Linked DNA regions of Arabidopsis thaliana. The protein of the gene in region 1 purifies or fractionates together with the protein of each later gene. This does not show direct contact. Each region holds a gene or a part of one and is shown on either strand. Other genes may lie near its edges.

Region 1 (3,516 bases):
TTCCTCCGAAGCTAGCTGCCTCGTAGATTCCATGAAGTTGGTGAGTGGAGTAGTTGTAAAGAAACAGAGGAAGTCCTGGAGTTATCGCTCTAACCGAGTCCCTGTATCTTGGTGGCAATCCTAAACAATTTCCATCCCCACAAATCAAAACCAAGAAGAAACAATCGAAACAGTAAGAAGAAAGATGTGGTGATGAATACCGAAAAGCTGGCGTTTGAGATTCTCTTCCATGGTATCGTTGTTGCAGACAAAGATGTAACCACCAATGGTTTCGTTTCTTGGCAAAGCTTCTGCTGGAGGAAGAGTCTTAAACCTCTTGTCCAAACCATTGTTCTTGTCGTCTTCGTTCCTCTGGTTATTATTGTTCTGCTGATTCTTTCTGTTCTTCTTCCCACCTTTCTGAATCTGATGATCTTCATCGATTCCTTTGTTCTTGTTGTTGTTCTTTAGATTGACGTTGTACCCATACTTCTTCATCGACGTGTAAACCCCTTTGTTGAAATCTCCGTTAACGGCGCTTGACGGTGAGTAACCGTTAACGTTAACGTTGACTGAGTTGAATTTCCACGTGTCGTTGAACGGTGAGTTGAATTTGTCGATTGGGTTTAAATCGACGGTGGATTTTGAACCCACAGGTCCGAATCCTAAACCCATGTCGTTGTTTGAACCAGAAGACTTCCAGTTCCAGTTGGAATTGATGTTGTCGGAAGTTGTCTTCTTCTGATAATAGTCGATCTGGTTGTTGTTCTTGTCGGTGGTGGCGGCTATGTCTAAGTTTCGACGCTCTTTGAAGACAGAGTTTGTGCTCCAGATCGAGTCGTTGAGAGACAGATTCGCTAGATTCGGTGTCTGAACTCTCAGCTGGTCGCTGAACTGCCAAAAAGATTGCTGATTGTTGTTATTATACTCCATCTCTAACTCTCTGATTGATCTGGAAAAATCTGATTTTTCGATCTGGGTTTATCGAAAGTTGAAATCTTTTTTGCGATTTTTGGTGAGAATTGGGGTTGGTTTTAAGTGGAGAGAAATTGGTGAAAAATGGGTGAGAAATATAAAGAAAGATGAAGAAAAAGTTGTAAGCTTTTAATTGGAGCAACTGTGTCATCTAAGTAGAAATTTCCACGAAAGTCACAATACCATTCTATTTTATTTTTTCAAGGTTGCGTGTGAATCTGACAAAGTTGGATGATTAAGTGAAAAGTAATTTATTAAATAAGGAATACTAATAAATACAAGACACAAGTACTTCTGTATTTATAAAATTACACACCAATTAATTATGTCAAATTTACCATTTAGTACTTCTGTCTGAGCTTTTTTTTTTGTATAAAAATTTGGTTAAGAAGAAAATTGCGATTTGCGAGTGAATGAGCATGTAGCAGCAGAGACGCGGAACAATTGCAATTATGACGTGGCAGACTTTTGAGAGGAGATTTATTTGTGCCGATAGTAACAAATATCTAATTTTAAAATATTGTTTTTTTCAAAACTAATTAATTTTATGTTTTGAAAATTTGGGTTGATTTGTCTTAGAGGCTAAGGATTGTGGACCAAACACCAAAAACGCGTTGACGAGAAAGACAGTGAGTGTGTCAGCATCAAGTTTTCGACTCTGTATAACACGTATTAAAATTCCCCGGAAGCTTCTATTGGGTTACATTCCCCACTTTAAGCCCATTCAATTACTGATTCAACAGGCCCATGTACGGCCCAATTAGAAAAGGCAATCTTATTCTTCAATTCTTCTTCTTCCTGAAGCCAGTTTGACAGAGAAAAATTCATAGAGAAAGAGATGGATCCGCAACTAATGGAGGTTTCACAGCAGTTCGAGAGGTTTAAAGCTGCGTTTATAATAAAAGATTTCGATACCTGTTCCAGTCTCTTGTCTCAGCTTAAGGTACTGTTTCCTTTTAGCCCTAATTCAATGCGGATCAATAGATAAAACCTTGAATATATCAATGTCAAAGTTTAATATAGATTTGATTTATTAATGAGTAGAGAGCCTAAGTTGAACCAATTGATTTAGAGTTGTTTGATCATTATCTTATATCACTCTCACTGAATGCATTGCTTTTGCTTACGTGTGCTCTGTTTTTTCTATGTACCAGGAATCGTATTCCGCCATCTCCGCAAGAGAATCTAATCATGGGGTTGAACCTACTGAGACTGCTTGTTCAGAACAGAATAGCTGAATTCCACACAGAACTGGGATTACTTTCATCTGCAACCTTGGAGAATCCTTGCATCAAGCATGCGGTGGAGCTCGAGCAATCCTTCATGGAAGGTGCTTATAACCGTGTGTTGAGTGCTAGACAAACCGCACCTGATGAGACTTACGTCTATTTCATGGATCTCTTGGCAAAAACCATTAGGTAAATAGGCTTCATTTGTCATTTGACCCTTTCTCTTCTTTAGCTCATTGCCGTGACTTAAAACATCATTGTTTATCTGTAGAGATGAAATAGCTGGATGCAGTGAGAAAGCATACGATCATCTCTCAATCAGTGAAGGTTGTAAGATGTTACTCTTCTCGTCTGATCAACAACTGTTAACATATGTGAACGAGGAGCACCCGGAGTGGGAAGTTAAAGACGGGTTAGTTGTCTTCCAAAAAACCAGAGAAACCGCACCGTGCAAGGAGATACCGTCACTTCAACTCATCAACCAGACTCTCAGTTACACCAGAGAGCTCGAGCGTATCTTGTAAATCCCATTCAAGTGTTACCATTGTTTGACTTACACGCCTCAGTCATCACTAGTATTTTCCCAAACAGTTGATTTGATTCATCAGATAATTTAGCTCTGTCCTTTCTTTCTTTTGTCGTCTGGTTATAATGCAACTTATATGTTATGGTCACATGAATGATTTCTGGCTCATAAAGGCAACTCCATTAAATGAGTCCGTGATTGAATTTTGATTCTTGTGTCCCACTGCTTGTAAATATATTATGTGTATTATTTTTTTTATTCAAGAAAGAGGGACAAGAATATCAAAATTGTTGAGAAGTTGTTTTCTCTTTAATTAACAAAATGTTAAATAATTCTTCTTCTCTACTTTCTGCTCCATTAATTTTCCAACTACAAATCTTTCTTCCGATTTTTTCTTGACTTGTGTATTTAATAATTGATGGAATCATTAATAACTTATAAATTAATTTCTTAAAAAGCATTTTGATAATTGAAAAGTGTGCTCTAAATACAATATTCCGGGTCATTATGTTTTGATTTGTCGACTGCTTTTTTCAATTTTTAAATCCTCGTAATAAATTTAATATATTATTTTTCAGTCTTTAATGAAATGTAATTTGGTATTATTAGTTACTAACATTTAAAAGAAAATAATTGGCTTGTAAAGAACGTATGGAATGTGTCGAGTATGTGTGTATAGTGTCTCCACTTGGATCTTTCTTACTTACTCCATTATCTTCTTCTCTCTCTTTCCCTCATCTCATTAATGGCGAGCTCTACATCTTTAGCGATAGTTCTTCATCAATCTTCCAATCATGACGAACTCTT
Region 2 (4,763 bases), on another chromosome or scaffold:
CCGCTGGGTGGATTGCGTGGAATTCGACTTATGACCCGCCTCCACGTACTATATTCTATAGAGAGTACAAGAATTCAGGTCCTGGGTCGGATCTATCCAAGAGAGTTAAATGGGCTGGGTATAAGCCCATTTCGTCTGATGATGAGGCTGCAAGGTTTACGGTTAAGTATTTTCTCCGAGGGGATGATAATTGGATTCCAAAGGCGGTTATGGGAATGCCCCCTCTGTAAACTTAATCACTTATTATTTGTTTTCTTAAGTTTTCAATTATTATTATTTTTTCTATAGATTTAGCTAAAGATATGTTTAAAAAATACAATATATTCTTTTGTAACCTCAAAGAAATATATTTTATTTTTTTAAAGATTTAGCTAAAGATAGGTTTTCACGATCAGCGCTTCTCTTAATGGGGTTTGGGTTAAATTCAGTGAGGGTGGTTATATAGATAATAAATATATAATTATCTTATAATTGAGATTTTTTTTCCGACGTACAATGATGATATGTACATAATAGATTTCAACTTTCAAGTTCTGATTTTTTCTTTTGGACAGATATTTATTAGTTTTAACTTCTTGTTGAAAACGACAAAAAAATGTAGATAGAAAGCTCAATAAAACTCAACTCGATAAAATCCATTATCTGATTAAACGAAACTAATTTTTGGTTTAGAGAACCGGAAGCAGACAGAAGCCTGATAAATTACCGAACAGACAAGGTAAGATAACAGGAAGAGAATGGCGGTTTATTTCTTCATAGACGACTGATGACGGCTTCAACCTCCTGAGGAGTGTAGAGGTGATAAGCTGGTGCGACTTTGGCAATGTCGACATTGTTTGGAGTCACCTAAACCAGAAAAGTAGAGAGTATCAAAAAGGGCTAAACCGGAGAGGGATTTAATGGGATTTTTAATAAACAAACTTGTAATCAATTGAATACCTTTTCTTCCATTACTTGCTTTAGGATAGATACAGCTATTGTTTCAGCTTCTTGAAGAGTTATATCCTGTAAGAGTTGTGAAATTGGAGTTCAAGGAAACTTCAAAAGAAATAGATTCTGTAATGCGCTTGGGACAGTGAAACAATCACGTTATTAGTACCTTGTTGAATTGCTCTTGGAGAGAACTATCAGCTCCTTCTGAGCCAGACCCAATTGCCTTTGCATTGCATTGCCAGAATGTTCCCGATGGATCTGTGTAGTACCTATACAGGATTGAGTTGTTTAACATTTGTTGTTTACCAATTTGAGATCATCTACACAGTTGGAAAATGATATAAGCGAAATGAATAACAACTTACAGGCTCGGTCCATTTTCATCATGCCCAGCAATGAGAAGGGATACTCCAAATGGACGAGACTGCAAAAAGTTTGTGAGACCGAGCATAAGTACATTCATATAAAAAGGAGACAGTAAAGAACCAAAGAATATTTGCTAAAACATTATGGAAGATTAGGGATTGTTATAGTGGTGGTTCCTAAAGAGTTATATCTATTAATTCACAACAAAAATTTAAAACCCCAATCTAAGGGTTTATCTCTGATAATTGATCATAATTTCCAAGCAGAAAGAAGAGAAATCCACTAAACATTGCCTATGCTATAAAGGTAATAGAGCGATTACTACCATTGACTCTTCCTATGCTATAAAGGTAATAGAGCGATTACTACCATTGACTCTTCCTCTCCTTCACCAAACCGTAAAGCAAGATCACACAAAGCTTGTGTTGTAGATTCTACAGTCATTGGCTCACCATACGAGAACCTGTGGTTCTGCTCAACATAATAAAACCAGTTGGTAACAGAAAGAACTTTTGATGTAAAAACAAATCCATGAGAAACAGAAAGTCAGAAACTGAGATCTCACCTGGGTCTCTACTCGTGCATGCTCAACAAGTGTTCGCGCGTCAGCAATCAGACCACTCATAGCACAACCTATATGGTCATCAATTTCCATAATCTTCTCAACACTACTCGGCTCCTACTTAAAAGATAAAAAAGAGACTGAGAAAGTAGTTACCATCATAGGGTAAACTCAAAAAGGTATTACAAATTCATACTAATATTACCTTTCAGATTCTATCACTCATGCCAATTCAAGACTAAATTTGTAGCATAATGTGCGTGTACCAAAATCATAAAGGCACGGAAATAGTAAAGCAAAGAAAACTTCTTAGATACTAACAAATCAACCAGATGGAAACTGCTAAACATAACAAATGTTAATAAAACAGTGGAGTCACACGGAGAAGATACAAGGAGAGAAACTATACCAGTAAAGGCGAAGTAATACGCTTCTCGACTGCAAGAACAACTCCCTCTTTCGTCTTTACACCAATAGCAGTAGAACCAAGCTGCAATCAAACCATAACAAACCCATCAATGGATACAAAAAGGGCATGCCCAATCTATTGTCTACTCCCCAACAAAGCACACTAACACAATAATGGATTAAGTAACCAAATTCGTTTAAGCAAACAAAGAAACATCCCAACTTTACTAGATTCTAGAGAAGCTATTAGCAGCTAGAGTAATCTATAAATTACCTTGATAGCTTCAATGGCATACTCAACCTGAAAGAGACGACCTTCAGGAGAAAATGTATTGACTCCTCTGTCATACTCAGTCCTTAAGAACAAAAAAAAAAAAAAAAAAAAACTTGATCAATACAAGCACCATAATCGTTGGATTCGAAGTTTTCCCAGAAACGGTGATACACGATTCTGAAGAAATCGAAGGAAGAAATGCTCAATTTTGTACCTAGTGAGAAACATCTTCTTCTCGATTTCGATCTGAGATAAACCTCAATGTCTGCACAAAAGTTATTAAACCCTAAAAACATTACAGATCGAATGAAAAAAATAGGAAACGATTCAAGTAACTAAGAACTTGTATGGATGCAAAAAAACTTTACCAGCTGAGAATTGATCTACGAATCGAAGAAACAAACTCTTCCCAGTTCCTTTTTAGCTCCCGTAGACAAGCACTCTTGAGTAACAAGTTAGACTTTGATTAACACTTGGGCTGTTAATGGGCCTAAATATCTTATCAAACGGGCCTTAACTTAAGTCTAATATGAGAAGCATACGCCATTAAACGGACCTTCAATTAGGCTACTGTATACTTCTTGACCAAATCTTTTAGCCTAAACCCATTACTTTAACTCGTAGACGTATGTTTCTAGTATTTGTTAATTATAAAATAAGTGATGATGAAGATAATGTTAAATAATTTCTGTATCAAATTTTATAATCAAACTTGCTTATATTAAATTTGGAGATCGTACGATATTGATAAGTTAGGCCACCACTCCGCGATGATATAAGTGGACGACGATCTAGAAAATTAATAAAAACTTTGGTGACGTATTTAACCTCCCAACCTCCTGAAACAGAGACCACAAAATATTTGATTATAGTTTTTCATTCAATGTACTACAATTTATATACTATCGACTCGGGTGATCGATCTAAACATTCTCTATCGAAATTATAATTTAAATTTGGTTTAACCGACAGAAAAAAATGGATTTTGGAAGTCTTTTTAAAAATTGTTAAAAGCGATTTTGGAAGTTTTGCTCCAACATTTTGTGACCAACCCTTCTAATCTATGGTTCCACCATTTATATGTATTTTTGGTTAAAAATGTTCATAAACTATTATAAGGATTCCAAAGTTGCTGATGACTCAGAAACTTGTATAAATCTGTTGTATTATTCTTTTAACAAAACAAAATAAAGATTCGCAAGAGTTTAATTAATTTGGTGGAGGAATATTCGTTGTTATTATAGTATTGTTTTGCATTTCTTTAGTAATCAAACCAGCGAAATAAATATCATTGCTCGGAGCCTCTGACTCGAACGTACCTTATTGTGGTTAAGAAGAGACAGCTTTTTTCCCGAGAAACTGTACGACGATGTCTCCATGTTTAGCCTACAATTAGTCTCTTGTCTAAATCATAGCAATAATATAACACCAATTATTGTCATTTTGCAATTAAAAATGCTCCTAAAAGCTTATCATGACGCTTGATATATCGACACGTGCCACGGTTTAATTAAGTAGGAGTTAATTCGTCATTGGACGGCAGATAAGCACTGTAACAACTAATTTGCTCGATGTTTAGTTTTTCTTTTACTCTAATATTAATATTATCTCAACATAACGAAAAAATTGGTTGAATGCAAGTGCAACTAATAGCACGCAAGTTTTTGAAATTAATGTAATGACAGATTAATTGTTTCGATGGAAGGTCAAATGTCTTTTTTACCTTTTTAGGTCAGAAGGAAGGTAAAATGTCTTAAGTCTATAAACTATTTCAGTTGGGGAATTATTTGTTTTTGTCTCATATTATTTTGTCAAAGAATCGGGTTATAAAACTCATTTTGTTTCTCAAATATAAGTGTTACAGAATCTAAGTAGTTTTCTTAGTAATATTTTTTAAACATTAACGGAGTAAGAAATCCCAATAATAGTTTTATAAAAATTTATGTAATAAAAATACACCTGACTAGACATACACATGTATATGTGTAGATATATTCAACGATTTCACATTGACGTTCATCAAAAATCAAACGTAAGAAGAAAAACGAAACCATTAGAAGAACTAACCAAACCCCACGAAAAAGACAACCAAACTTGTTAATGAGATTGCCACTCTTATTGGCTATTATTTTATCTTCACCTTGCGTCTATATATAATTGACTTAAAAAAAAATCTTAATTAAACTCAGATTCAATCAATCATCGGAATTTATAATTTTC

What was found.
Region 2: the proteins of RPN12b (region 1) and PAE2 fractionate together in Arabidopsis thaliana (co-fractionation; one large-scale study listed by BioGRID). This does not show direct contact.

The regions. Positions count from the first base shown.
Region 1 is NC_003076.8:16,813,026-16,816,541, reverse strand, and holds RPN12b (regulatory particle non-ATPase 12B), read left to right. Parts: upstream 1-1,792; coding exon 1,793-1,897; intron 1,898-2,028; coding exon 2,029-2,372; intron 2,373-2,454; coding exon 2,455-2,707; 3' UTR 2,708-2,977; downstream 2,978-3,516. Other genes in the region: AT5G42050 (DCD (Development and Cell Death) domain protein), read right to left, coding at 1-120, 201-912; ABIL4 (ABL interactor-like protein 4), read left to right, coding at 3,455-3,516. UniProt on the Arabidopsis thaliana protein: Acts as a regulatory subunit of the 26S proteasome which is involved in the ATP-dependent degradation of ubiquitinated proteins.
Region 2 is NC_003074.8:4,762,372-4,767,134, reverse strand, and holds PAE2 (20S proteasome alpha subunit E2), read right to left. Parts: upstream 3,112-4,763; 5' UTR 2,912-3,111; intron 2,809-2,911; 5' UTR 2,772-2,808; coding exon 2,758-2,771; intron 2,626-2,757; coding exon 2,544-2,625; intron 2,352-2,543; coding exon 2,271-2,351; intron 1,979-2,270; coding exon 1,865-1,978; intron 1,771-1,864; coding exon 1,669-1,770; intron 1,358-1,668; coding exon 1,299-1,357; intron 1,203-1,298; coding exon 1,100-1,202; intron 1,006-1,099; coding exon 940-1,005; intron 847-939; coding exon 754-846; 3' UTR 526-753; downstream 1-525. Other genes in the region: ATPMEPCRC (pectinesterase family protein), read left to right, coding at 1-230. UniProt on the Arabidopsis thaliana protein: The proteasome is a multicatalytic proteinase complex which is characterized by its ability to cleave peptides with Arg, Phe, Tyr, Leu, and Glu adjacent to the leaving group at neutral or slightly basic pH.